Linked DNA regions of Caenorhabditis elegans. The protein of the gene in region 1 purifies or fractionates together with the protein of each later gene. This does not show direct contact. Each region holds a gene or a part of one and is shown on either strand. Other genes may lie near its edges.

The links. The genes of interacting proteins can lie anywhere in the genome.
Region 2: the proteins of K10D3.4 (region 1) and twk-37 fractionate together in Caenorhabditis elegans (co-fractionation; one large-scale study listed by BioGRID). This does not show direct contact.
Region 3: the proteins of K10D3.4 (region 1) and ZK470.6 fractionate together in Caenorhabditis elegans (co-fractionation; one large-scale study listed by BioGRID). This does not show direct contact.

Annotation. Positions count from the first base shown.
Region 1 is NC_003279.8:7,133,108-7,143,506, forward strand, and holds K10D3.4 (BPTI/Kunitz inhibitor domain-containing protein), read right to left. Parts: upstream 6,867-10,399; 5' UTR 6,565-6,866; coding exon 6,387-6,564; exon of another isoform or gene 5,375-6,386; intron 5,106-5,374; coding exon 4,602-5,105; intron 4,383-4,601; coding exon 4,233-4,382; intron 4,144-4,232; coding exon 3,913-4,143; intron 3,860-3,912; coding exon 2,696-3,859; intron 2,626-2,695; coding exon 2,449-2,625; intron 2,402-2,448; coding exon 2,152-2,401; intron 2,097-2,151; coding exon 1,982-2,096; 3' UTR 1,631-1,981; downstream 1-1,630. Other genes in the region: taf-11.2 (Transcription initiation factor TFIID subunit 11), read left to right, coding at 79-337, 520-734, 806-1,067; hpo-11 (Protein kinase domain-containing protein), read right to left, coding at 7,171-7,294, 7,346-7,449, 7,803-7,926, 8,501-8,898, 8,953-9,117, 9,331-9,429, 9,875-10,134, 10,179-10,262.
Region 2 is NC_003279.8:6,267,833-6,274,864, forward strand, and holds twk-37 (Potassium channel domain-containing protein), read right to left. Parts: upstream 3,702-7,032; 5' UTR 3,679-3,701; coding exon 3,650-3,678; intron 3,604-3,649; coding exon 3,544-3,603; intron 3,224-3,543; coding exon 3,039-3,223; intron 2,991-3,038; coding exon 2,896-2,990; intron 2,841-2,895; coding exon 2,754-2,840; intron 2,676-2,753; coding exon 2,546-2,675; intron 2,431-2,545; coding exon 2,265-2,430; intron 2,183-2,264; coding exon 1,924-2,182; intron 1,867-1,923; coding exon 1,729-1,866; 3' UTR 1,588-1,728; downstream 1-1,587. Other genes in the region: oac-9 (Nose resistant-to-fluoxetine protein N-terminal domain-containing protein), read right to left, coding at 1-253, 336-462, 510-652, 702-983, 1,036-1,201; C10G11.8 (AAA+ ATPase domain-containing protein), read right to left, coding at 4,181-4,405, 4,447-5,349, 5,631-5,819; spch-2 (SPerm CHromatin enriched), read right to left, coding at 6,743-7,032.
Region 3 is NC_003284.9:4,174,478-4,180,954, reverse strand, and holds ZK470.6 (MD-2-related lipid-recognition domain-containing protein), read left to right. Parts: upstream 1-3,647; coding exon 3,648-3,746; intron 3,747-3,794; coding exon 3,795-4,014; intron 4,015-4,061; coding exon 4,062-4,275; intron 4,276-4,326; coding exon 4,327-4,471; intron 4,472-4,591; coding exon 4,592-4,684; 3' UTR 4,685-4,890; downstream 4,891-6,477. Other genes in the region: mrp-6 (Multidrug resistance-associated protein lethal(2)03659), read left to right, coding at 1-54, 106-212, 642-762, 837-940, 1,343-1,546, 1,592-1,840, 2,225-2,500, 2,550-2,726.

The DNA.
Region 1 (10,399 bases):
AAAAAATAGTGGCAGTCTTCGGTTACTGTACCCATTTTTCATTTTCAAGATTTGTTTAAAATTATATTTTTGTTCTAGTGATAAAGAAGATATACTCGTGGAAACTGCGCCGTCTGTGGAAAAGAAGGAAGAACCTATCGTCAAAATGGAGGAAACCATCTCAATAACTCAACAGTCTTTTCTGCCGCAAATCAAGCCTCAAGTTGTCTTCTATCTTCCAAATGATAATACTTCTACAATTGTTTTTAAATCATTTTGGATGCACAACGGAAAGCCCATTAGAGAAATCGTTGACGGACAGGGAACTAGTCAATTCACTGCTTGTTTCAAAGAATCTGTATGTTAATTGAAAGCTGAATAGCGCCAGGGGGTGTTCAAAATCACTTCTATAGAACATTTTCTGATCAAAAATCCAATTGAAAAATTTCAAAAAATTATTTCAAAAGTTTTCATCTAGTTTGGCATTTTGTCAAAACTTTGACCATATTTAAAAAAAAAAAACTAATTTCAAATTTTCAGGTTCGGGAGGAAGAGCAGCGAAGAAAAAGATTACGCGAGGAAAAAGAAAAAGAAAACGCGATGAGAGCTGCTTCTCCGGAAATTCCAGCCGGTCCCCCACCCACAAAACGGCAAATTCTGGAGCAAGAAGAGAAGGAAATTATTCTATTGAAAAATCAAGTTCTCGTTGCCAACTTCTCACAAGAACAAATTGAACGATACGAGGTTTATAGAAAGTGAGTTGATTTTCCATTTTTGAATTACAGATTGCCATGGAATTCCTTTGTATAAAACTTAATTTTTACAGATCATCGTTTAAAAAGTCCACAATCAAACGTCTTATCAATGAATTCACTGGAGGAATTGACCTTGGAAAAAAGGTAGATATTGCAGTAGCTGGATTGGCAAAAGTGTTGGTTGGCGAAATTGTTGAAGAAGCTCTTGATATCAGAGATTTGGATGAAAAAGAAGCAAAAGAACCACTCCAGCCACATCACATTCGTCAGGCATATCTTCGTCTTGGAGAACAGGGAAAACTCTTACCGTCATTTGGACAAGGAAATAATTGAGCTTTATTGCCAGAGAAGAACTTTTTTCGAACAATATGGGTGTTTTTTTGTTTATATTGTTATTTCATCGATCTCTATTGTGACAAAGTTGTCTATATTTTTGGTTTATATTGGAAATGAATCATTGGAAGTGGTAAATGATTTCTATACTTCCATAAAAATAACCTTCCAATCCACATAAACTTGAATTAGAAAAATGCCGGGGTACTGTAGATTGAATCTGGTCTCCTCTCAAAAATGATTGTGATGGTTATCGTTTTTCTCAAAAACATTTGAATCAACACCTAATTTAAAAAATCTAAATTCATTTTAAAAAACGAATGAATTCGTACACGAAGTCTTGAAAAAGGAAACGCGGGCACCAAAAAAAATTTTCGATTTCTGTAATTTTCCCCCAGTAGAGTTCTACTTGAGCAAAGTAAAAGTGGAACATTTCTAGATAAGAAAAATGCTCACGAGTTGAGTATGATCTTCTAACCATCTTGATATTTTAACTTTTCAATAATAACTTTTTACACTTTAAACATGGCAGCCTTCTGATTTCACATAATGGGAAACTTAGAATTGGAAATTTCGTTTTATTTCAAAAGAAGAAAACTCAAAACATAGCTAAAAATAGCAATACGATTGACGTCAAAACAGAACTTTGAAAATATAGATTTCTGATTTTCAGGCTCTTTTTGGCATCGATTTTTTCCAGTTACATGGAAAAACAATGAGAGGAAAATGAACAATTGATAGAGGAAAAACAGACAACCGTACAGTGTAAGTTATGCAGAAAAATTATTTGTTTGGTGGGGAATACACATGTACGTGGGAATGAGATGGCGAAAAAGTCAAGAAAAAACATCAAAAAATAAATGAAAGAATTTAGAAATTTTAGAGAACAAAGTCGTGAACCCCGGAGCTCTTGTTTAACTCTTTCCATTTCCCAACTGAACTCTGCAACAGATGAATCCATTGTCATTGCCCGTGTAAAGACATGCTGAGTTGTCTGGACAAGATTGTGGAGTTCCAGCACGAGCATATCTAAAATTATACAAAATTGAAAACCATTCAATTTTTCAAATCAAATTTCACTTACGGATTGCACGTCCTATAGTTTCCAGCCAACTCGACTGGAACCAAATTAGCTGGTTGTGGTGGGCAAACATTCGGCAATCGAACATCTGACTCAAGTCCACAACAGATATATCTTTCCAAATTAGTGGAGAATTGGCAATGTCTGTTGGCTCCACAACCCTGGATGGCGTCATTGAGTGGAGCTGATGGAGAGCAGTATTTGTACTGGGCTCCGTTTTCTCCTGGTACAGGAACAAGTTGTGGTGGGCAGTCTAAAAGAAAATGACTAAATTATGAGGGTTAACTCGAAGATACTTACATCCTGTATCAACAGAGTCTGGGGATCTGCAGCAGTAGAAAGCATTGACTGATGTTGTTGTAGTTGAGAACCAGCAGAAGAAGTTTCCAGGGCAAGCTCCATCAACATTTGGAGTACATTGCATTGGTTGAAGTGAGAGAGCAGAAATGAATGGAGTTGAAGCAGCAGGGCAGAGAGCTGGAAATTAATTTTTGGAATTTTGAAAGATAAAAAGTATGTTTAAGAAGCTGTAATTAAAAAAACTAACATTGAAGTTCAGTCGAAGCTCCGCAGCAAACATTCTGATCAAGAAGTGGTGAAGAATAACAAGTGTAACCATCGGGACAACCACCGGAAACTCTTCCATTTCCACCTGGATTTGAGCATTGAACAAGTCTGCTTCCATCTCCATCCTTGGCAACAACAGTTCCTGGTGGACAGGCTTCCGAAAGACAATAGTTTTGACAAGACTTTTGAGAAGCAAAGTTATTGCGATTTCCTTCACATCCATTATATTCAAATGTTTGGCATGTCTTTGAATCAGCATTGAAGTACCATCTGGAGATTCTTGTGCTAGAACATCTAACTCCGACGTCACGTGGTTGAGAGCATACGAAATTCTTTGATGGACAGCAGAGACTCTTTGTTTGGTAAACGGTTCCAGTCCATGTGGTAACTGGTGTACAGTAATGAGTAGATGGGCATTGTCGGTTAGTTGTACAAGCACGTGCTGCTCCATTCTGCTCCTTCCATACTTCTCCTCCATCTGGACATGATTCAACTCTACAGTAATCCTTACAATCTTGTTGAGTGGCAAAGTTATTAGAGTTTCCATCACAACCATTGAAAGAGTATGTCTGACAAGTTCTAGTTGTAGAATCATAATACCAACGAGTGACAGCTGGTCCACAAGATGCTCCAGATTTGTAAGACAATGAACAAGTGTAAGCTTGAGTTGGACAACATCCATAGGTGGTTCCATCATAATAACAGTAATGATTAGCTGGACAGGTGGTAGAAGCAGCTGAAGATCCTCCACAGATAATGAAGTTTCCGTTGGAATCAGTAAGAGCGGTTCCTTGAATACATTGTGGCTCACTGCGAGCATCTCTACAGTAATCTTGGCATTCTTTGTACGTTTCGAAGTTATTAGCATTTCCTTGACATCCAGAATAGATAAACTCTTCGCAGTTTCCGGTTTTAGCATTGAACCACCAACGATTGGAATATGTTCCACAGTTACCTTGTTCTCTTGGCAACTTGCACACGTACTGCGGACGTGGACAACAGACTCCTCCGAAAGTAGTTGAGCCAGAAGTAGACTCACAGGAGTGAGTAGATGGACATGAGTTGGCTCCAGAACCAGTTGGTGAGCATTCCATGTTGCGTTCTCCAGATGAATCCTTGAGTGGTTCTCCAGCAGAACAGAGAACTGAAATATACATGTTTAAAGTTAAAATTCTTCAAAGAAAACAGTTTCCTTACTTCTTGAGCAGAATTTCTCACAGTGATCTTGAGAAAGGAAGTTGTTAAAGTTTCCTCCCTGTCCGAGATACGAGAATTGAATACAACGTCCTTCTCGCGAATCGTAGTAGAATCTTGGCGAAGTGTTTCCAGAACCATCTGGGATTCCGACATCAAAGTATTCGGTTGGTAGACCTCCGGCTGTATTGTAGACTTCTGATGGAATTCCTCCATTTCGAGAGCAGATGAACACTAAAAATTTAAATTAATAAGTACCATCTTGAATATTCAAAGGTTTTATTCTCTTAATATCAAAATTCGGTAAACTCTCATAAACTTACAGTAAGTTGGACAACATTGTTGAAGAGTTCCCATGGTTGTACATTGATAGTTCGGGTTGTTACATCCATTGTCATTTCCTTGACAATAAACTGGCTCTTGTTTGACTCCAGTTGTACGGTCACGATACAATGGAAGACCGCGGTTACAGGCTGAACAGTTTTAATTTTAAAGTAGAATTTGACTTTTTCAAATTGGAAGTTGTTAAACACGGTTAATTTTCTATGTGTCCGTCAGCAACCTCACACTATTGGCATGGTGGTAGGACGATTCACATATAGACTATTAAACTGAGTCTACTGTGCTCATTGAGGCTATATGTATACATCGCAAATTAACCATATAATTTCATTCAATAAATATAAACTCACTTTGTTTACAGTAAGACTCGCAATGATCCTTTGTCTGGAAGTTGTTGGCATTTCCACCGTATCCTTGATATTTGAGCTCTCTACATTCTCCGGTAATTGGGTCATGGTACCAATGATTCAAAGTAGTACCACCACCTGGTGGAGTGTATCCTTCATTTGGTGGTTGAATACAAGCAAATGCACGTGATGGACAACAGAAACTGATAGGATTGTTGACGGTACAATCATCAGAATCACAAATACAATCGTATGAAAGAGCTCCAATAGCTTCACACGTGGCATCGGCTCCTCCGTAGCACTGTTGAACTTGGTTTTCAATGCGGAACTTTGGATTATTTCCGTTAAGTGGACAGAATCCATAGTTGAGACACACAAGACCATCACGAGTACGGAATGGTGGTTGATTGTTGGCACATCGACATTCTCCTGATCTACAGTATGCACCTGGCCAAACGGCTTCACATTGTCGATTTTGTGTACATCCAGACTCTCCCGGATTGATTTCTAAATATATTATTTCATTTCAATTGAAGAAAATTAGTAAAAATTTCAACTACATTGCAGTTTTCACTTATGACTCAAGAAATGGAAAATTGGAAATTTATTTTTCGTGCGAAACGAGTTTATTGAGTTTAAATCCTCACTTTTCAACATTTGTTTGTTACAAATTGTTTCGTAAAAACTGTATCATAAAGGGTCAAATTGCTTAAAAACGTTTACTGATGTACCAAAAAAACGATTTAGGTGTTAGTTTGAAAGATTGAGAAAGTGAATAATCAATTCATAATTTATTTATGCATCAAAGAAGAAAATGGTTCACAAGGAAGGTAAGAAAAGAGAAAATAAGAGAAAAGCAGTCGGTGGCAAAATAAGTTAGGCTTATATATGTGTGTGTGCTTGCGCTGGTGGCATTTTTGTGACTCAAATTTTGCAGAAACGACAACTAAAATCGGATGAGGAGAAAAAAGTTAAAAGAGCAACCCGCCAGGATGGAGAACAACAACCCAGCAAAACGACGACGATAAGCAATGAAACGAAACAATAAAAAATAATGTTGATGAGCATCCGTGTTGGTTCTGGATGTTTCGTTTTGACAAGAGAAGAAAATAGAAGGACCTAGGGTATACTAAAAACACGGGAGACGAGGATAACAGCGCGAGATAAAACGAATCAGGATACTAAATTCTTTGTATGGCATTATTCGTTGGAAGATACATAGAATCACAATTTAAAATGCCATACATAGTATTTGCCAAAATAAAAAGAATATAGATTGTGAGAAACAAAGAAGAAAGTCTAAAGGGATGGGGCCACGATATGAGCTTAGGAGAACAAACTGGATGGGGAACGAAGACGCCGGGAGTTTTCGGTTCGTTGTGCCAAGAGATCTCATTTTAGAAGTTGGCACGACCCGAGCAACTCACGGCGGATATCGGGTAAAAACCTAGAAATTTTGGAGCCCGTGTTACGGGAATCGTTGTAGGGAATCTAGACGTTTTCGATGCCATTTTCACATAGATAAAAAGGAAACGAAGAATTGAAATGAAAGTTTGATGGGACTATGAAGGGGAAAAACGGAAAAGTGCCTAACATGAAAAAACGCATGCATTCAACATGAATACACAAATGTACGTGAAATATGAATAATGATGAAAACGACAAGAAGAATGTGAATTAAAGTTAGAAAGCGAGAAGGCGAGAAGCTAGCACAGCGAGAATGGGGGAAGGTGATCAGTATGGGGATCTACAGTAATCTCGTTTCTCTTTATTTTATCAAATACTTACTTCTCCAGCAATAAGAATCAATCTCGACATATGTCGTCAGACAGGCACATCGCTTATTTCCAGCACAATAATTTCCGGTTCCGCAATCTGTGGAGACCTCACAAGGCCGTCCTACGGTTCCGTGTTGGGCACGGACCGCGATAGCGGCAAGCAGCAACAGAGCCGCTAATTTAAGCATTGTGCTCGCTTATCGTTTGTTGAAAACTGCTATATCACAGTGATCAATAGGGAATAATGGGGGGAGTGAGTGGGGGGACAAACGATTTGTCGGGCGTTTGACCGTGTCCGTCGTCTCTTCGCACGACCGCAAATACCACTACCAAATATCTTAGAAGGGGCCGAGAGTCAGTCAACACGAACAGACAAACCTCTATACAGCACACAGTCACCGTCAACCCGTCGACTATGGACTTGGTGGTGCTCACGGCGGTGGCTCCGAGACCCGCCCAGTCGTTGCTCTATTACTTCCTGGGCGGAACTGTCGTCCCATCTTTCTTGAGCGCGATCTCTCTCACAATATCGAAATGGTTAATTCTCGGTAAACAAATGCGCACAGAGCTCTCGCAGTTAGTGAATAAGAGAACCTAGACATACCGATTGACCCATATTGAACTATTCAAAGAGAAAAGAGTTAATAGAAAAAGATCCCCATCTAATCACCAGAAATGGTTAAAGGAACAAGAGGAAACTGGACAAAAACAGAGAAAAACTGTAACAGGAAATATAATACGGGGATGTGGGGAGGGATGGAGGGATGGAGATGATTGGAAACAGAAATTGAAGACTAGGAAGATGTTGTTGTTGTTGGTGTTTGAGATGAAGGAGCAACCGAATCAACAATTGGTTTTACCGAATTCGTTATCGAGCTTGAAGTACCGTTTTCAATTGGAGCCTCAGAGTTTGACTCTCTGAAAAATTAATTTTTAAAAAGTTTTTCAAAACTTCATTTTGAAATTTACCTCGTTGATGTTTCATTCTCCTCTTCCTGAACACCTTCTGCAATACGAGCAGCACGAATATCAAAAGCCACTGCAATTGCTTTTTCGACTCCTTCCGAATCCAGCTGAAATTAAAGTTTTGATATTTATGTGTTTTTTGAAGTGTTTGGTTTATTCTCTCTTCTTCTCATATTATCATTTTCAACGCGCATGTTTGTTAGCTATGTGTCGAGTGACCATCAGCGTGCGCTAGCGCTATAGAGGATAAGCATCATTATGAGCAACTCGATAGACCAAGAAAAAAAGGTCACCCCCCCCCCCCCCCATCATCCAACGTGCAGTGTGTTTGCCGGTGTCCTTATTTGTTGAGAAAGCCGTAAGAGTCTCTCTATCAGCAGATTATCCTTTTCTGCATTCTCCACTTAGAGTGAGCGAAGAGAAGAAAAGTTTAAGGGAGAACGCCAACAAAGTCACTCACCTGACACATAAAACCGTGTGTAATCAGATTTTCAGTCAAAGTTTCTGGATTGTCACCCTTGTTGATCGACGTTGTTAATTGCCGATGCATTTGATCTTCTAATAGAAGAACAATTGACATTTCTCTGAAAATTAATTTGTTAATGTAAATAATTACATCAGGTTTCATCAGATGCGAACTTTGCACTTTTTTCCTCTAATATACGATACCCGGTCTCGACACGACAATTGTTTTCGCAAATTCAGAAAAGTGGGTGCCTTTAAAGAATACTGTAGTTTTAAAATCTAGTTGCTTCGGAATTTCCATCGATTTTCATAGTTTTCCGATAAAAATATATTTATGTATTTGAAAAATATATAATATACAAAGTTAGTAACTTTCGTTCAAACTTCTACAAAATTTTCATCAAAATTTCATAGTTTTTATCTTGGTTTTGTCCAAATTTAAATTGTTGTACTTTTATATTTATTTTTTAAATATTTAAACTTTTCATCAAAAAACTATGAAAAGTCTATTGTAATTCCGAAGCAAATACGTTTTAAAACTACAGTACTCTTTAAAGGCGCGCGCCTTTTCGCATTTAACATTAAATTTTTCGTGTCGAGACCCGAATCATCAAATTTCGGGTCTTATTTAAAATTCTATCAGGAAAGGGTGAACTGATTCAGGAAGTATACTTTGAAAGAAAAGAAACGTACTCATTTTCAATATGCACATTGATCTCCAAAATGTGTCTATTTTCTAACCGCATATCTCTCTCCCCATTTGGTTCTCCTTCTTCTTCCGGAGTCGGTGATCCAGCATCACGCCCATTTGATGATCCTATTGTAACATTTGCTCCATTGACTTCAACTTCGACTTTACTCGTTGATTCCGTACTCGTAACTTCACCGATTTTCTTATCAACTGCTTCAGGACTTGCTGATTTACCGATGGAAGATGGTCCATTTGTATTAGTTGTTGTACCACTTGGCTGTGATGATTGACCAGGTAAACTAGTATTAACTGATGTTTCTGCAGTGATTGTTGAGTTGGCTGAAGGATGCGTTGATGAAGGAGCAGATATATCCGTAGTGATCAAAGTCGATGGATTAGTCTGAAAACTCTATAATTTTCATAGATTTACACAAGTTCTTTCTGTATCTCATACATTCGAATATGCCCGTAATGTTGTAGATGGTTGATGTGCAAGTGGTGCAAATGCAGTTAATGGATAAATTCCATTTCGAACATCATCGAGAAATTTTTCTAGATCAACTTGAAATGCGGCCACTTGGCAATAAGCCATCTCTCTTAATTTCGACGTTGCAGCAATCTGAAAAACAATGTAGTTTAAATTAATGTACTTAGTTCACTGTATTCGATCAAAAGGTAGTGTAGATAACCGAGAAGCGCCGACAAAGTGACCGACGAATCAAATATTTACTTTTGTGGAGGGGGGAAAGAGTAACAACAAAACGAACTCCTCATATGGCCATTTACCCGATAACTTTTAGAACGCATTAGTCTATGTGGGGATTCAACTTACTGTTTCATTGTCTTTTATTCGGAATGCACTTTCCGAAACATCTTCATACTTTTTCGAGTCGACAATTGCGTGCGCAGAGAGCAATTTTAATGAGTGAACCTGAAATTTTGGTAATTATGCTTCAGAAAAAAATGTCATTGAAATTTGTATTTGAAATTTTTTGACTCGCGAAGTATACAACTACCACACTTGGAATTTTTTAAAGGTTTTTTTTTTGGCAGAATACCAAATTTTTAAAAAAAATTGAGTTTTTGAGAAATGAATAGAAATTTTATATGTTAGAGTACACATCGGCTTTAGATAAAATTAATTTTAACATAATTAGAATCTAAAAATTTTGTAAAGAATTGTTTTTGGTCGTTATGGCAAAACCTTTTAAAAATATAGTCAATTTTTTTACTGTAAATAATAAATTTCAAATAAAAGTTTTACTCTTGCATTTAGTAATTTCAGATCCATAGAAAAATAGTTTCAAACCATTTTTTCACAGACGGTACTTCACATTTTTGCTTTTTTTTTGGCAAATCTTATGGCATCCACGTACCTCAAAAAGTATCTGATGAAATAAAAGTTCTCTTGCTGAAGGCCGTTCAGCTGGATCTTTTCTGAGGCATTGTCGTATAAAATCTTGTTGCATCGGATCTTCCAACGATCGAATCGCTTTTTCAATGACATCTTCGGTGACTGGTCCTTCTGAACTTCCATTCTGACATCCCGAAAGTCCACCGATTACTGCAATTTCCAGTGAACAAATTCCAAATGAATAGATGTCGGCTGCCGACGTAAGCTCAGTATTGTCTAAAACTTCATAACAGATATTAGATCAGTTCTTCAAAATTTAATGTTACTTTCGTATTCCGGAGCAATGTAGTGCATATATCTCATATTCTCTCGGCATGTCTTCACGTGATGGTTGATGGCATCCGGAGCGACTGTAAAAATGTTATTTTATGCAAAAAAAGATGTGTGAGAAGGAAGAGAGTAGGAGAGGGGGAAATGCGAGATGTTAGTTGACAAGTTCAACAACAAGCCTCAATAGAGATCATAACGATTATATTTTAATACTACG
Region 2 (7,032 bases), 870 kb from region 1:
CGGAACAAGTATGTCAAACTTGAACGGACGGAGAATGCAGACAAAATGTTGACGAGTAAAGAATTCGATAGTGAGATAGTCGCCAGGGTTCGGTAGGTTAGAGCAATTGATGGAGCAAACTGACGGTTGACTGAAGAATTCGCAAGTGACTCATTATCTTCGCTCTCTCCTGAAGAGTCGAATCCACAAGATTCACGGTCTGAACGGTCCTCACTGATAGAGACAGCTGACGAACGAGTGACATCAAACGATTCTTAAAAAATTCAGGTTGATGTTAATAGATCTGCAGCTGTGGTTTTTGCTTAACACTTTTTTTAAAGCTTGATGTCACTCACTTTTATGAATCATTCTTCTCATTTTCGTATTACTTTTCTTGATCAGTCCGTCTCGATTCATTTTTTCAGTTAACGTTCCGATAGTCAACAAAGCCAGGATAAAGAATAATGAGAAAAGTACAAATGGCTGAAAATAGAAACATTCTTTTAGAATTAAAATATATCAAAATATACTTTCTTAACACTCCAAGTACTGTCGGTGCCATGCGAACAATAAACTGAATCCACGTGGATCGTCTCATTGAACAAGTACTCCTTCGCCAAATTCAGCAACTTACTCATTTGATTTTCATGGCAATTTGATGGAAGGCAGACTCCTACAGTGAAAAGATTATAAAACGGAGCAAAAAACAATAAAAACGGAACCTGTTGTAACTGGAAGAGTTTCGCTGCCAAGTTTCACCGTTCCTTTCAAAGTGCAATAATGTACTTGCCGATGTTCTACCGACCATAGTTCTTTACATGTTTCAAAATCTCCGATGAAGAAGAATGGTCCTTTACGTGAAAGACCTGGTGGTTTTGTTGGAAGTGAATCAATAAGACGGACAGCCCAGTTTGGCTCGAGGCACGTGTTAGATGAGCATTCAGACAGAAATTTCAATGCAGATTTGCCAATATTTCCGAGCGAATTGATACAAAAACTATCATCTGAAAACATATCGTAAAGTGACATTTTCATTTAAAAAAAAGCTGAAATTGCCTTCGAAATTTTTGAAAAGTTCTTGAAACTTGTTGAACTTGGTGTGATTGTCTTTATCGCCTTCAAAAATTTGTTGAAGAATTTGTTTTCCAGACTTGGTAAATGAGCAGCTGACGAAGGCTGATGAGGGTAGAAACGAGACAAGTATCAAATAGACGAGATTCATTGTTTTCATGGGAAAACTTTCACAAATGATAATCGAAAATAAATTGTTTGATAATTAATGATTGCGTTTTCACAAATGACGGTATTTGCGTGAGCTGCACGTATTCCTGGAAAATAATTTTCAGAAAGAAAAGAACAATAAATTTTTTTTAACTAGCCACAAACACCGTTGTTTGAGAGATTAAAAATTCAATTACCAAATAGGTTATTCACGAATGCGCTACTAAAATTAACTCCGTAACGAGAAATTGCACATGAGGTTATAGGTACGGCGCTGGGAGGTCAAATAAAAAGGCGGGTGTGAGGCGCCTCTGTCAAGCCTTTACCGGATTAAATCTCTAAATGGGCAGTTTTTTTTTCCTTTCATTGTGCAAAAAAAGAAGCTTTTTGTAATTTCTTCATTCTCTTAATGACGAAAAAGAATAAGAATTAAACCACAAAAAGAATATCAATAAAAATTGTAATAAGCAAAGAGATATTTTAAATTTTGAGAATAATCTGATATCAATTATGATCACTGGATCGAAATCATTCCTTCGCTGTAGTCGTTGCAGCAAGTTTCCGTTGAGAAGCACCAGGTGATATCATATTTGTTTCTAAAGTGTCGGTAGCATGCCGTTCATCGAAGAGCTCCAAAACTCTCATAAATCTGTTTTCCATCGAATGCTGAAATTTGTAAACTTTAGACACTTGGTTTCTTACAAGGGAATCTTCACAGCTTACATGAACGAGAACTAAAACCATTGAAATCAGTGATAAATCGATAAAGTGTAATACACAAATAATAGTTCCAGAGATATGACCTGACGGAACAAAATCTCCAAATCCAATAGTTGAAAATGTACTGAAAGAAAAGTACAAGGCATCATAGAATACAAACTCCTCATAGACAGCAATTGCAAGTGCTCCGAAGCCCCAAAATGTGACAAGAAGAATAAAAGCTTTCAGTACTGTCATCTTATACTTTGCCGACTTTTTGCCACTGAAAACTAAATAATGAACTCAAATAAAGATTTTATATGGAAAGTTGAGAAGAGGTTATTTATGTTTAAATGTTAAATTACCATTTTCGAACGCAAATTGCAAAAATTTTGAGTGTCAAATTGCATATTTTCAACGTTATTTTTCCATTGTTGCGAAGTACGTAGAGTGTTAGAGCAATTCCTATAATACCATAAGCTACAGTAACCAATTTACCGGCAATTGTGTGACAGACAAGTTCGCCGTACCCTGAAATAGAAAATAGAATGATTAGACGACACCTCGGGAGAAAATTTTAAAAATATTTTTCAAAATGTTCGAAATCAGTTTTGATACTATTTTACTTGTTAATCCCGAGTCATACCTATTGTCGTAATACAAGTGATTACATAAGCCAGCCCATCCAGAAACTCTTCTATATGCTTTGGAGGGTTTGAAGCGTAGAGTAGGTCAAAAATTTCTTTTATACAATTGTTGTTCAACTCATTATCTGCCTGAAATAGATGAAAATTGTATCGAGGCGTTTTCCGGGTATGCTCAATTGAAAGAGATGCAGAAATACTTTCACAAACCTTTTTCAATTTTCCACACTTGCTACCTTTCATTGAATTGTAGATGTGTATTGATTTCTGACGAATATTTCTTTTGAACTCATTAATCTGAAAATATTATCAATGAATATATATCTGCAACAGAAACAAAAGCTTTACAAACATTCATATCAGATCTCGATTCAATCTGCCAAAACAAGAGAGCTCCACCAATTATATATGCAACAAGAACCACAAATGCAATTATTGTATTAAATTCTGAAATTTGAAACATTACTTTAAGCAGAATATAAACCAAATCCTCACTTCGAATCTTTCTCAAAATTGTTCGTAATTTCGTTGGCTTCGGTCTTTCCGCTCTAGACTTTCGTTCAACAAATTTTAAAATAGATTGCTTTCTGACAAGATGTTGAGTTTCTGGTGAAGATTTTTCCATTTGCCTCTTTATAAATTTATTAATAAGTCGATCCGTGTGAGTTTGCATTCCATCGCTGAAAGACTATTGCAGTTTGGATTGACAGTGGTGAAGCAGTGGGTATTGTTTGAGAAGATTTGACAGCTATTCTGTCGTCTTTATATTTTCCTGGTGTAGATAATACAGAAACTCGACATTTTGCTTCAGCTTTTTCTCGCACATTGTCGCACATCTTTGCGGGTTACCCCTAGTTTCGAATTTTCCGCGCATTTCTTCGCATGCTATCGTAGATCGTCGCAGATTTTCGCGATTTCCCAGCTTTCAATCGCACGGAGCGAAATGTCGAGCATGTGGGTTACAAACTAATTTTCTTCTGTGGATTGTAGTTATACTCACCTATTAGAAGTGTGATGGTTAGAGCTGTGTGATTTTTGATTTGAAGGTATTGAATCTGAACTGAAAAATGTAGTTTTTTTTAGATGAAAACAATGATTCTGCAAACCTCGATTGTCTTCTATTTGATGCTACCATTGGGACGATATTGACTCCAAAAATTAGAACTGACTTTTAAAAAATCGATTTTTAATAGTTTTGGCCATCTCAGAAAATATCACGTTTCTTGGTTATGGTGGTATTTAATAATTTTATAATTTTTAAAACTGTACGTAAACAATTTTTTCAAGAAACTTGGCGAGCTCAATGAGTTTGAAATTTTTTAAACAAATTTGGATATTTATTTTTGTATCTATTTGAGTGTATACGACAAATCTCATCTTGTGTTAAACAGTAACACATTGAAACAATAAAATATTTATACTCGAGATCGGTATTCAAAACGCCTCGGATCAAGTTAACATAATTCTTCAAATTGAGGCTCTGGAAGGGAAAGAAACTACGAAAACAAACAGTCTATGGTCATAGAAAGACCAAAGAAATTAACTACAGATGTTCATAAAAACATCTGCACTGGCATTGTAAGAGAAGAAAGGTTCATTAGGGTAAACTCGTTTGTACTTTATTGAATTTCCGATTGTCAAGAGAAGAATCCTTCTGGTGCTCCGCCCTTCTTCGACAGCATAACCGATTTGACAGCCTTCTCAAAGTCATCCGTTCCGACACATTTTCGTTGAGCACGAAGAGCCAGCATACCAGCTTCCGTGCAAACCGCCTTGATTTCAGCTCCACTAATGCTCTTCTCCTTTCCCAATACATTCTCATAGGTGACAGCTTTCTGAATCGTCATTCCAGAGGTGTGGATCTAAAAATAAAAATTATTTAAGAAATGTTGAATTGACTAACCGTGAAAATCTTTTGTCTAGTCTTCTCATCTGGTTTTGGTAACTCAATCTTTCTATCAATTCGTCCAGGACGGATAAGAGCGGGATCCAGCGAGTCGATTCTGTTCGTTGCCATGATAATTTTGACATCTCCACGGCTTTCAAACCCGTCCAATTGATTTAAGAGCTCAAGAAGAGTTCGTTGAACTTCTTGTTCTCCACGTGAAGAAGTATCAAATCTTTTCGTACCAACTGCATCAATTTCATCAATGAATACAATCGATGGAGCCTGTTCCTTTGCCATTTGGAAGATTTGACGAACAAGACGAGCACCTTCCCCACTTTGTTTCTGAACAAGATCGGATCCAGTTGCACGGATGAATGTTGCAGATGTTGAGTTTGCAACTGCTTTCGCCAAAAGCGTCTTTCCAGTTCCAGGTTCACCGTAAAGAATAACTCCTTTCGGAGCAGTGATTCCCATTTCTTCATAGTACTCTGGATGAGTAAGAGGAAGTTCCACAGACTCTTTCAGCTCTTGAATTTGACTCTCACATCCTCCAATGTCATCGAATGTCTCTTTTGGTGTCTTCTCAACTTTATGTCCCATCGCATTGCTGTCAATCTTGTCATCCAAAACTCCAACGATTGCACTTGGAACTGTTTTGAACATTCCACCAGCCTTCACCATGACGAGGGCATTCAGACGAAGCAAGTCCTTGTCGACGATCGAGAGAATTGGTACGTACCATTCACGTCTCGAACCTTCAACGACCACAACGGCATGCTTCTCATCATCGAAAAGCTCGTGGACACGAGCCAATGTGGTTGGAGTTCCTCGGAGACTTTGAACTAATTGCTGTTCACGACGTTTTTGGACAGCAAGAGGGCGACCATGACGGCTTGTTTGACGAGTGATGAACTCTTTCTGTAATGAAAACAACTGTTAACCATTTAACTGCAGTCATAGGATCCCTACGCAACTGACATAAACAAAACAAAATTCTCTACGTCTATCCTACTACTCCAACCCTACAACGATTTGAAGTTCGTGTAATGATGACGTCATAGATTGCAAACTACATTTACTACAAGCTATGGCTTTATGAAGTGTTAAAGACCTCGAGTTAGATAAATTCCGCATCTTTGCTCTCTAGGGATGAACTCTTTGCTTTCTAGGGATGAACTGATAATTTAGTTTTCACAAACCTCCAACTGCAAGTAATCATGAATCCTGTTCATCTTGAGAAGGCGCACAAGACACTGTCGCTTTGGTGCAACTGTCGGAAGCTTGTTGGCGTTCTCGATGCCGCGTCGACCGCTTTTCATTGCGATCTTCATTGCTGCGTGAGTGGGCTTCTCCTGTTTCTTCTGTGGAAGGGCCATTTTGTTTCCCATGGCTAGTTCTGAAAGTATCTGTATCACAACTGAAATTTCTGTCCACCGCACTTACCAAGTAATTAGTAGATATTGAAGTTGTAAGTAGTTGTCGATAGCAGTTTGAAAAACTGAAGTGATTTGATTTTCCAATTCTTGTTGGAATATTGATTGTTCTACTTTTATCTCGGAGTTTGATCAATTTAGAGCACGTAAAGTTGAAAATCATATTTATTTCTCACGGTTTTCTTCTAAGAAATTTTATTTTTAATTTACAATTCGTAAAAAAATTATTTATTGACAAGGAGAAACAACCAACAGAAACAACAAGAACAATTTGCTGAAATTATATTTATTGGGATTATACAAAAATCACCGAAATTGGTTGCCTAAAAAGTTTGGAAAAATTTAAGTTTTAGCTAATGATTAGGCCTTTTATCGAAATTTTGAACCACCATAAATATTTTTTAAAATTTGTTTCAAGAAGTTGCACTACGAAACTCGTTAATTTGTTAAGCGCTTACATTTTGGGTCAAAATATTACTCCTCATTTAAGTACGGAAACTCCGGCCACCTACCGCACTTGAGCAAAATATAACGTGCCTGCTGAGACCTGACTCTACCTTACATGCAATGACTTCTTCCAGTCCAGCTTAAACAGAGTTACAGCATAAAACAAGATCAGTCATGTTTTCTTAGCTAGGAAAATCCATTAAGGTGATAGTTTCTGGATGACTATTGGTTTCAGTTTAAAATTCTGATTCGAAAATTGTGGTAGAAGGAATCGGTGGCTAGGTGAAAAGCGATTTTGTGGTATAACATACACGACTGATATGCTTTCAACTGAAATCGGAAATATATCTCCCTGTGAAAGATTGAACAACAAAAAACACAAATCACACAATACAATTTATTTCACAAGTTATTCATTTTTCTCAATCCGTTCAACCTTTACGGCTCATCGAGCGTTTCACCTTCTGCTGGCTTCTGCTGCGGCTACGTCTTTTGGCAGGAGTCTTCTTTGCAGTCGACGCACGACGTCCACGTGCCTTCGAAGATGAGCGACGACGCGAGCGGCGGCGGGAGCTTCTGCGGGAGCCGGAACGAGAGCGTGATGAAGAACGGGATCCTGAGCGAGTCCTTGGGCGGCTTCTGGAGCGAGAACGCTTGGACGAACGAGAGCGTCCTGTGCGCCCATACACCGATCCACGAGAAGACGAACGACGGCTCTTCG
Region 3 (6,477 bases), on another chromosome or scaffold:
GTAGGAAAATGTACGTTCATCGTTCACGGGAATTGAAGAGAATTGAGGCAGCCGGTAAGCATTACTTCGCGGTTCTTGAAAACAAAACAGTTTTGAATATTTCAGCTCGGTCTCCACTGAACACTACTATTACATCTACTGTCCATGGTTTGTCGACTATTCGAGCATACCGAAAAGAAAACGAGATGATTGAAAAGTTTTGCGCTCTTCATGTAAGTTTCGAATACATTTTATTTTACAAAGTACAATTTTAATATATTGCCAAACTTTTGAGAATGTTAAAAATTTACTAATCTATGTTAAGTCGAGCCCGATTGAGCTCAGAGCAAGTCAAAGGTTTTTTCGCCGCACATCCCTGATCGGAATACTAAATTTAGCTGATTTTAACGTTGCTCAAGGCCATTAGTGACTACAAGAACGACATCCTATCCTAAAACACTACTCGGAAAAACCCTAAGAATTTTTCTTAGAAAGAAGAACCCCTAAAATCTCCTAGAAGAGTGGAAACGACAACCTAGAAAAGATCCTCTAAGACCCACCCTATAGGAAATACCCCCTAAAAACACCTAGGTAAGACCCCCCTCCCTAACGCCAGAGCCCATTTCTCGAACGAACTATTTTAAAATTTGACCTTTTCACAGGATGTTTATATGGCCGCGTACAACATGGGACTTTTGTCCGCCCGTTGGTTCGGAATTTGCATCGACTTTTTGGTGTCTGTTTTCGTTTCCATTGTGGCGATTGTTGTTGTTCTTCAATATGGTAAGTCAACACAGTAACGTTTATCCACCGCGTCCATCGTATCTTATTTCAAAACAACACTCCGAGATTTTTAGAAACCCTGACCGTCGGAGAAGTCGGATTGTGCCTTGTGTGCGCGGTTCAGTTGAGTGGATTCTTCTCGTGGATCATGCGGCAAAGCGCCGAGCTGGAGAACGGGGTGAGTTTATTTTTTGCTTGTTTCTTTTTTTATCGCGGGAGATTCCTCCAATTTGCTCCCCCTTCTCCTCCTCCTGCTCCGCCATCAAAGGTCGAATTGAGCTCACTATGCGGTTGGCGAAACATCATGATTATAAAGAGTTTTGGACAATGCTCAAGCGCGAACTGCCCTGATCAGACGATTGAAGTGGTTTGTCGCATTTTCCACACACACACACACACACACATCACAACAAACACAAATGGAATGTTTGTCATGGTGGCGCCAAATGAGCGACCCACCCGAAACTCTCAATTCGGTCTTTTATTCTAAATGAATACAATGTGAACACAGCAAATGTTGCAAATGAAGACAATACAAACATAGTAGTATGCGGATTGAATTCAAACTGTCGATTTGCAGATGGTTTCCGTGGAACGAGTGCTAGAGTACACCAAATTGAAATCTGAAGAAGAAGCCAGAAGACCACATGATGCATACCTCGATAAACAGCTACTGAACTCTTGGCCAACGAAAGGAGAAATCGAGTTTGAAAATGTATCTGTCAATTATGGGGAGACCAAAGTACTCAAAAATCTTAGCTTTGTTGTTTTAGGTGGACAAAAGGTGAGTTACTAACTTTTTGTTCAGAGTATTACTTCTGAAACTTAGATTGGAGTCGTCGGCCGAACTGGTGCTGGTAAATCAACACTCATTAAAATTATTTTTGGACTGAAAGAGTACTGCTCTGGACGTGTCACTATCGACGGTGTGGATCTGGATCACATTAGTCTTAACTTCAGAAGAGGAGGAATGTCTATCATTCCGCAGGAGCCCGTAATCTTTTCAGGAACGGTCCGGGAGAATTTGGACCCGTTCGATGAGTATGATGATGCTACTATTTGGTTTGCGTTAGAGCAGGTATGGCTTTAATTTATTGAAGAATAACATGTGAGAATGAAATTTTTATAAGCCATTTTTATGGCCCCTATAATCTTGTTTTAACACCATTGGCTTTACAAATTTTATTGAAAAAGTAAAATGTTGACTGGGCAAAGATTGAGCAAGACTTGGACAAGACATAAGCAAGACTTGAGGAAGACTTGGACATGACCCCTCCCAAGTCTGATCCAACTTTTTCTCATATTTTAACCAAGTTCAAACTTCACCTCACCGTAGCCCTAGTTTTGTCCTATGTGTGCCTAAATCTGATCCAACGGTCTAATTTAATACGAGATTCCGAAATTCATATGAAATCGAAATTTTTAATAGATTCTGTAGGATAATCGTTGAAAAAATTTTCAGTGTGAGCTTAAACGTTCCATCACAAAAGAAAAAGGATTGAACGTCGAATTGGGCCAACGGGGAGTCAGCCTGTCTGTCGGTCAGCGTCAACTTTTCTGTCTTGCCCGAGCAATGATCCACCGATCCAAAATTCTTGTTATTGATGAAGCAACCGCAAATGTTGATGGAGTGACAGATGCTTGCATCCAGAAAACAATTCGAGACTTTTTCAAAAACGCCACAATCATCACGGTGGCCCACCGTCTTCACACCATTATGAACAGCGATAATGTAATGGTAAGTGGTTTCTCAACAAGCAAACAATGCCTAGGTTCGCAACTTGCAGGTGTTTGAAAAAGGAGAGCTCGTCGAGTTTGACAAACCGATCACTTTGCTGGATGATCAGAGCTCGCTGTTTTCAAGAATGGCTGCTCAATCAGGGGCTGAAAATTTTGACTCCCTTCGGGCGGCTGCATTGGCCCATGCAATCGATGATCAGTCATCGTATACGGATAATAGTTAAAGTTTCATTAAATTTCCATGTTTTCTAAATATTCAAATCATAACTTGTTTCACTTTCACATCATTTTATAGCAATTCAATTGTTCAATGTCACCTTTTCAAAGGGAATCGAGATTGTTTTTATTTCACTTTTTATTCCATCATTCCATTGAGCACAATAATTCCTTGTTCATACCATGATCTAAGATCATTTCGGTTTTGGCCCAGTGATCGCATCGTCCACATCGTGTAGCTTTATATGTGTCGAATTTAATTTTTCTTTGGTAATATCAGCAATTTTGTTCTGTGGTTTTTTTCTGACTTTCATGATTCTAATCGAAACATGTATTTCATGCAAGCTATTCTTTTCTCCATCCCCCTCATTTTTTTCCAATAAAGAAACTCTGTTATTTTTCTGTTTTTATTTTGTGCTCTGTGTTTGCACTGTCCCATGGAAATAAGCAGACCATTTCTGTGACGAGTGTCTGATAAAAACTTGTCAAGAGTGAGGAAGAGAGCCGTCTAGAAAGCAATGAGCAAATCTTCAAATGCCAAAAATGGCAATCTCGAGTGCTTCACCATTTGCTCTAATTAGAAATTGATCGAGCGACAAATGCGGGCTCTCGAGTGATTTGGCGGAGCTTTGGAACCAGGTGCGAATCGCGTTTTTGTCGGACTTTCAAGAACGCCCCACATGTTGGGCGCTCTACAAAAAAAGACGGTCAGGTATATAAAGCACAGAAAACAGCAGAACAGAGCGCACCCGTCGACCTCCCGCTAGCACCTGAGGCAATTCAAAAACCAACCCGCACCTTTTCGTGCGTCGAGTGCTCTATTCAATTTGCACTCATCTGTGTTTTATTCTAAACATTCGATACACCCAGGTTGCGGCCAGTTCCAAAAAAGTTTCCAAGTGAAGATTTCAACAAAAATTCTGTTAACGATGAATTTCCGTTTTATTCTACTATTCTTAATATTCCCTTTTGTTTTTGCAAGTTTAGAAGAATTTGAGCAAGATAGCGCTGAAATTAAAAAAGAAGTGGTATTTTTTTGTTTACTTGTGTTTGTTTTGATTTAGTTTATTTTTTAGCCTGCTCGTTTTCGATCTTTCAAAAACTTTGGTAGCCATCAAGATGCCAGTAATCAAGCTGCAGAAGTAGCTGGCTCGAACGAAGATAACACTGATGACCCTGAAGTTGCACCGGATGCTCCATACCTTATGGCAGATTCTTCTCTAGAACAAGAAGAAGAATGCGTTGCTCTTCCGAATCGAACACGAGTTCGTCCGTCGTTTTTCCAGTGTAAAGAAGGTACAGTACTTCTAGTAAAACAGAGCCCTAAATACCAAAAATTGTAGACACAAAGTTTGAACTTCACGGCGGTGCAATTACAAACGGCAACGGTGATGATACCTACCCGGTTTCCTTCAACTCGCCTATTCGAATTTTCCTCGACATCACCAGTAATTCTAACAAACGATATGACAATTTGGGCGTCGAAGTGTCAATCTTTAAACGTTCAACCGGATGGTTCGGATGTGGGTGGATGTTTTTACCAAGCTTTGGGCTGTTGTAAGTTGTTTTCTTTGCAGAACACCGAAAAACATTGAATGTTTTTTTAAGGAGCAACTATGATATGTGTGACGACAACCCGTCATGTCCGGTGACTCCGGGACGTCAGGTTATCGAATTCGAGATTGATCCAACAAAGTTGTTTACGAATCTGTTCCGAATGATTCACTATGACTTGGTGGGTACTGACCATAAGGTAAACGCGATGGCTATTGTACTGGAGAGCCGTTGACGGACGCTTAGCAAATACGTTTTTTTTTCTTAAATTGAAATATTAAAAAGAAATCCACTTCTTCAGTATACTTCAATTTTTCAGTCCGCCTACCAAATGATGGTTCGAGTCCGAGACAATCGAGATCCCTACCGAGAGTTGCTTTGTGCTACGATCCAAACTAGAATCACACTCTGAGACCAAGACACTTTTTATTTATTTATTACCAAGATCCTTATCAGCAGTATTTATGAACGATAACCGGGACGCAACCCAATTAATTTAATTCCCCTTCCCTACCTTCTCCCCCAGTGAACACCAGAACCAAGTGGTTTCTATTCATCCAGTTGTTTATGATTATGACTCTCTGTTACAGGTTATCAAAAAATGAATAATATAGTATATTCTGTTTTGATATGTGGGAATGGTCTGGAACAACTAAGGTGCATGTGTGAATAACAAGAATTGAAAATCACATGGGATCCGGCTTTCGTTAGATCTCTGTTTTGACACATGTTTATCTCGAGTAATAACGCTGAAAATTCCATAATTCCATAATCATTCTGCTGAGAGAGTAAATTAATTTCTTGCTACTCAGCGGAGAAAACTTCCAGAGGAATTAATTAGTCAAAAAGAAAAACAACAAACAAATAATATTTGTTGAGTAATGTACACTACTTGCAAAACTTTTGTCGACCAATGAGCATCAAATGCAATATGTTAAGCGATTAACATTAACGAAACTTTAAAAAATATGTATATAAACCTGATCGTTGAGAAAAAAGTAAATAACACCGGGGAAAGTGCGCGGGAATGGTGATAATGAAGTGGAAGCGTTGTTCGGGATAAGACCAGTAGCTGGAATGCAGTCTAGTATAAGAAACCTTTTGCTAACCTTTTACACAATAAATAATTAGTGCACTGGCATTTTGGAAAGATGGGAACGCTGAGGACAACAATAGATACGGTAATAACTTATGTGAGAGAAGTAAATAATTTTAGGTTACAAAGATTGCGGAATGTTCTGAGAAACTCTGATAATGCAGATAATAAAAAGCTTCGGTACAATATAAAAACACAATAAAATAAGTCAAAATAAAAGATTGAATATGAAAATCTGGTTTCAAAGTACTTTGACTATGATCAATATTTGTTTAATTTTTATTGATTAATATTAGATCTTCTCGGCATTTGGCTTCAACTTCTCGCTCAAGTTTGACCCTAAAAATATTAACTTGGACAAAAGTTGGGCGGGACTTTGGCAGAACTTGGATTCAGGCTGGGCTAAAGCTTATCCGAAGTTTGACCCAACTCTAGCCAAACTTTGGCCCAAAATTTTCTTGTTTCGTTTTAAACTTGGGTAGATGTTTGGCAAGAGTTGAGTCAAACATGGGTTTGGTGCTGCCAAAATCCAAGTTGCAGTTGCATATTGGTGTAACCTCCAAGTTTTGCCAAGGTCATGCACAACTTTTGCCTATTTTTAGTTTTTGTTTTCTGAGTAAGCTCAAAGGCAAAGTAACCCTACTGGGGAAATAAGTAAAAACCATACATTTTGTTTAAAAATTTCCAAATATCATAGTTAAACTCTTCACAATTTTTTTGAAATCTTTTTATTTCTATTAACTGTCATAGAATGTTAACACAGATTTTTGAAAGTCGTCAATCAGAAAAATGATCCTTCGACTTTAATGGACTTATTTTTCATATATTAATACTCTAACACTTTAGGAATTCCAACCTGCGACAGTTTTCTCAAAAAGTGACACAAACTCAGTAATTGACACTATTTGAATGTCAATAAAACGTTTTTCATCACTTCTTGAAATGTTTTTTGGCCATTTTTGGCATTATAGGAGGTTTTAATAATTTTCCTCGCTGGCGCAACTACAGCTTCAATGAAAACTTTCATACTTTGGAGTAAAGTGTTACGCTTTGTAAAAAAAATAGCATATGTACAGTTTTTTCTACTTAAATGAAATGTAAGACGTATT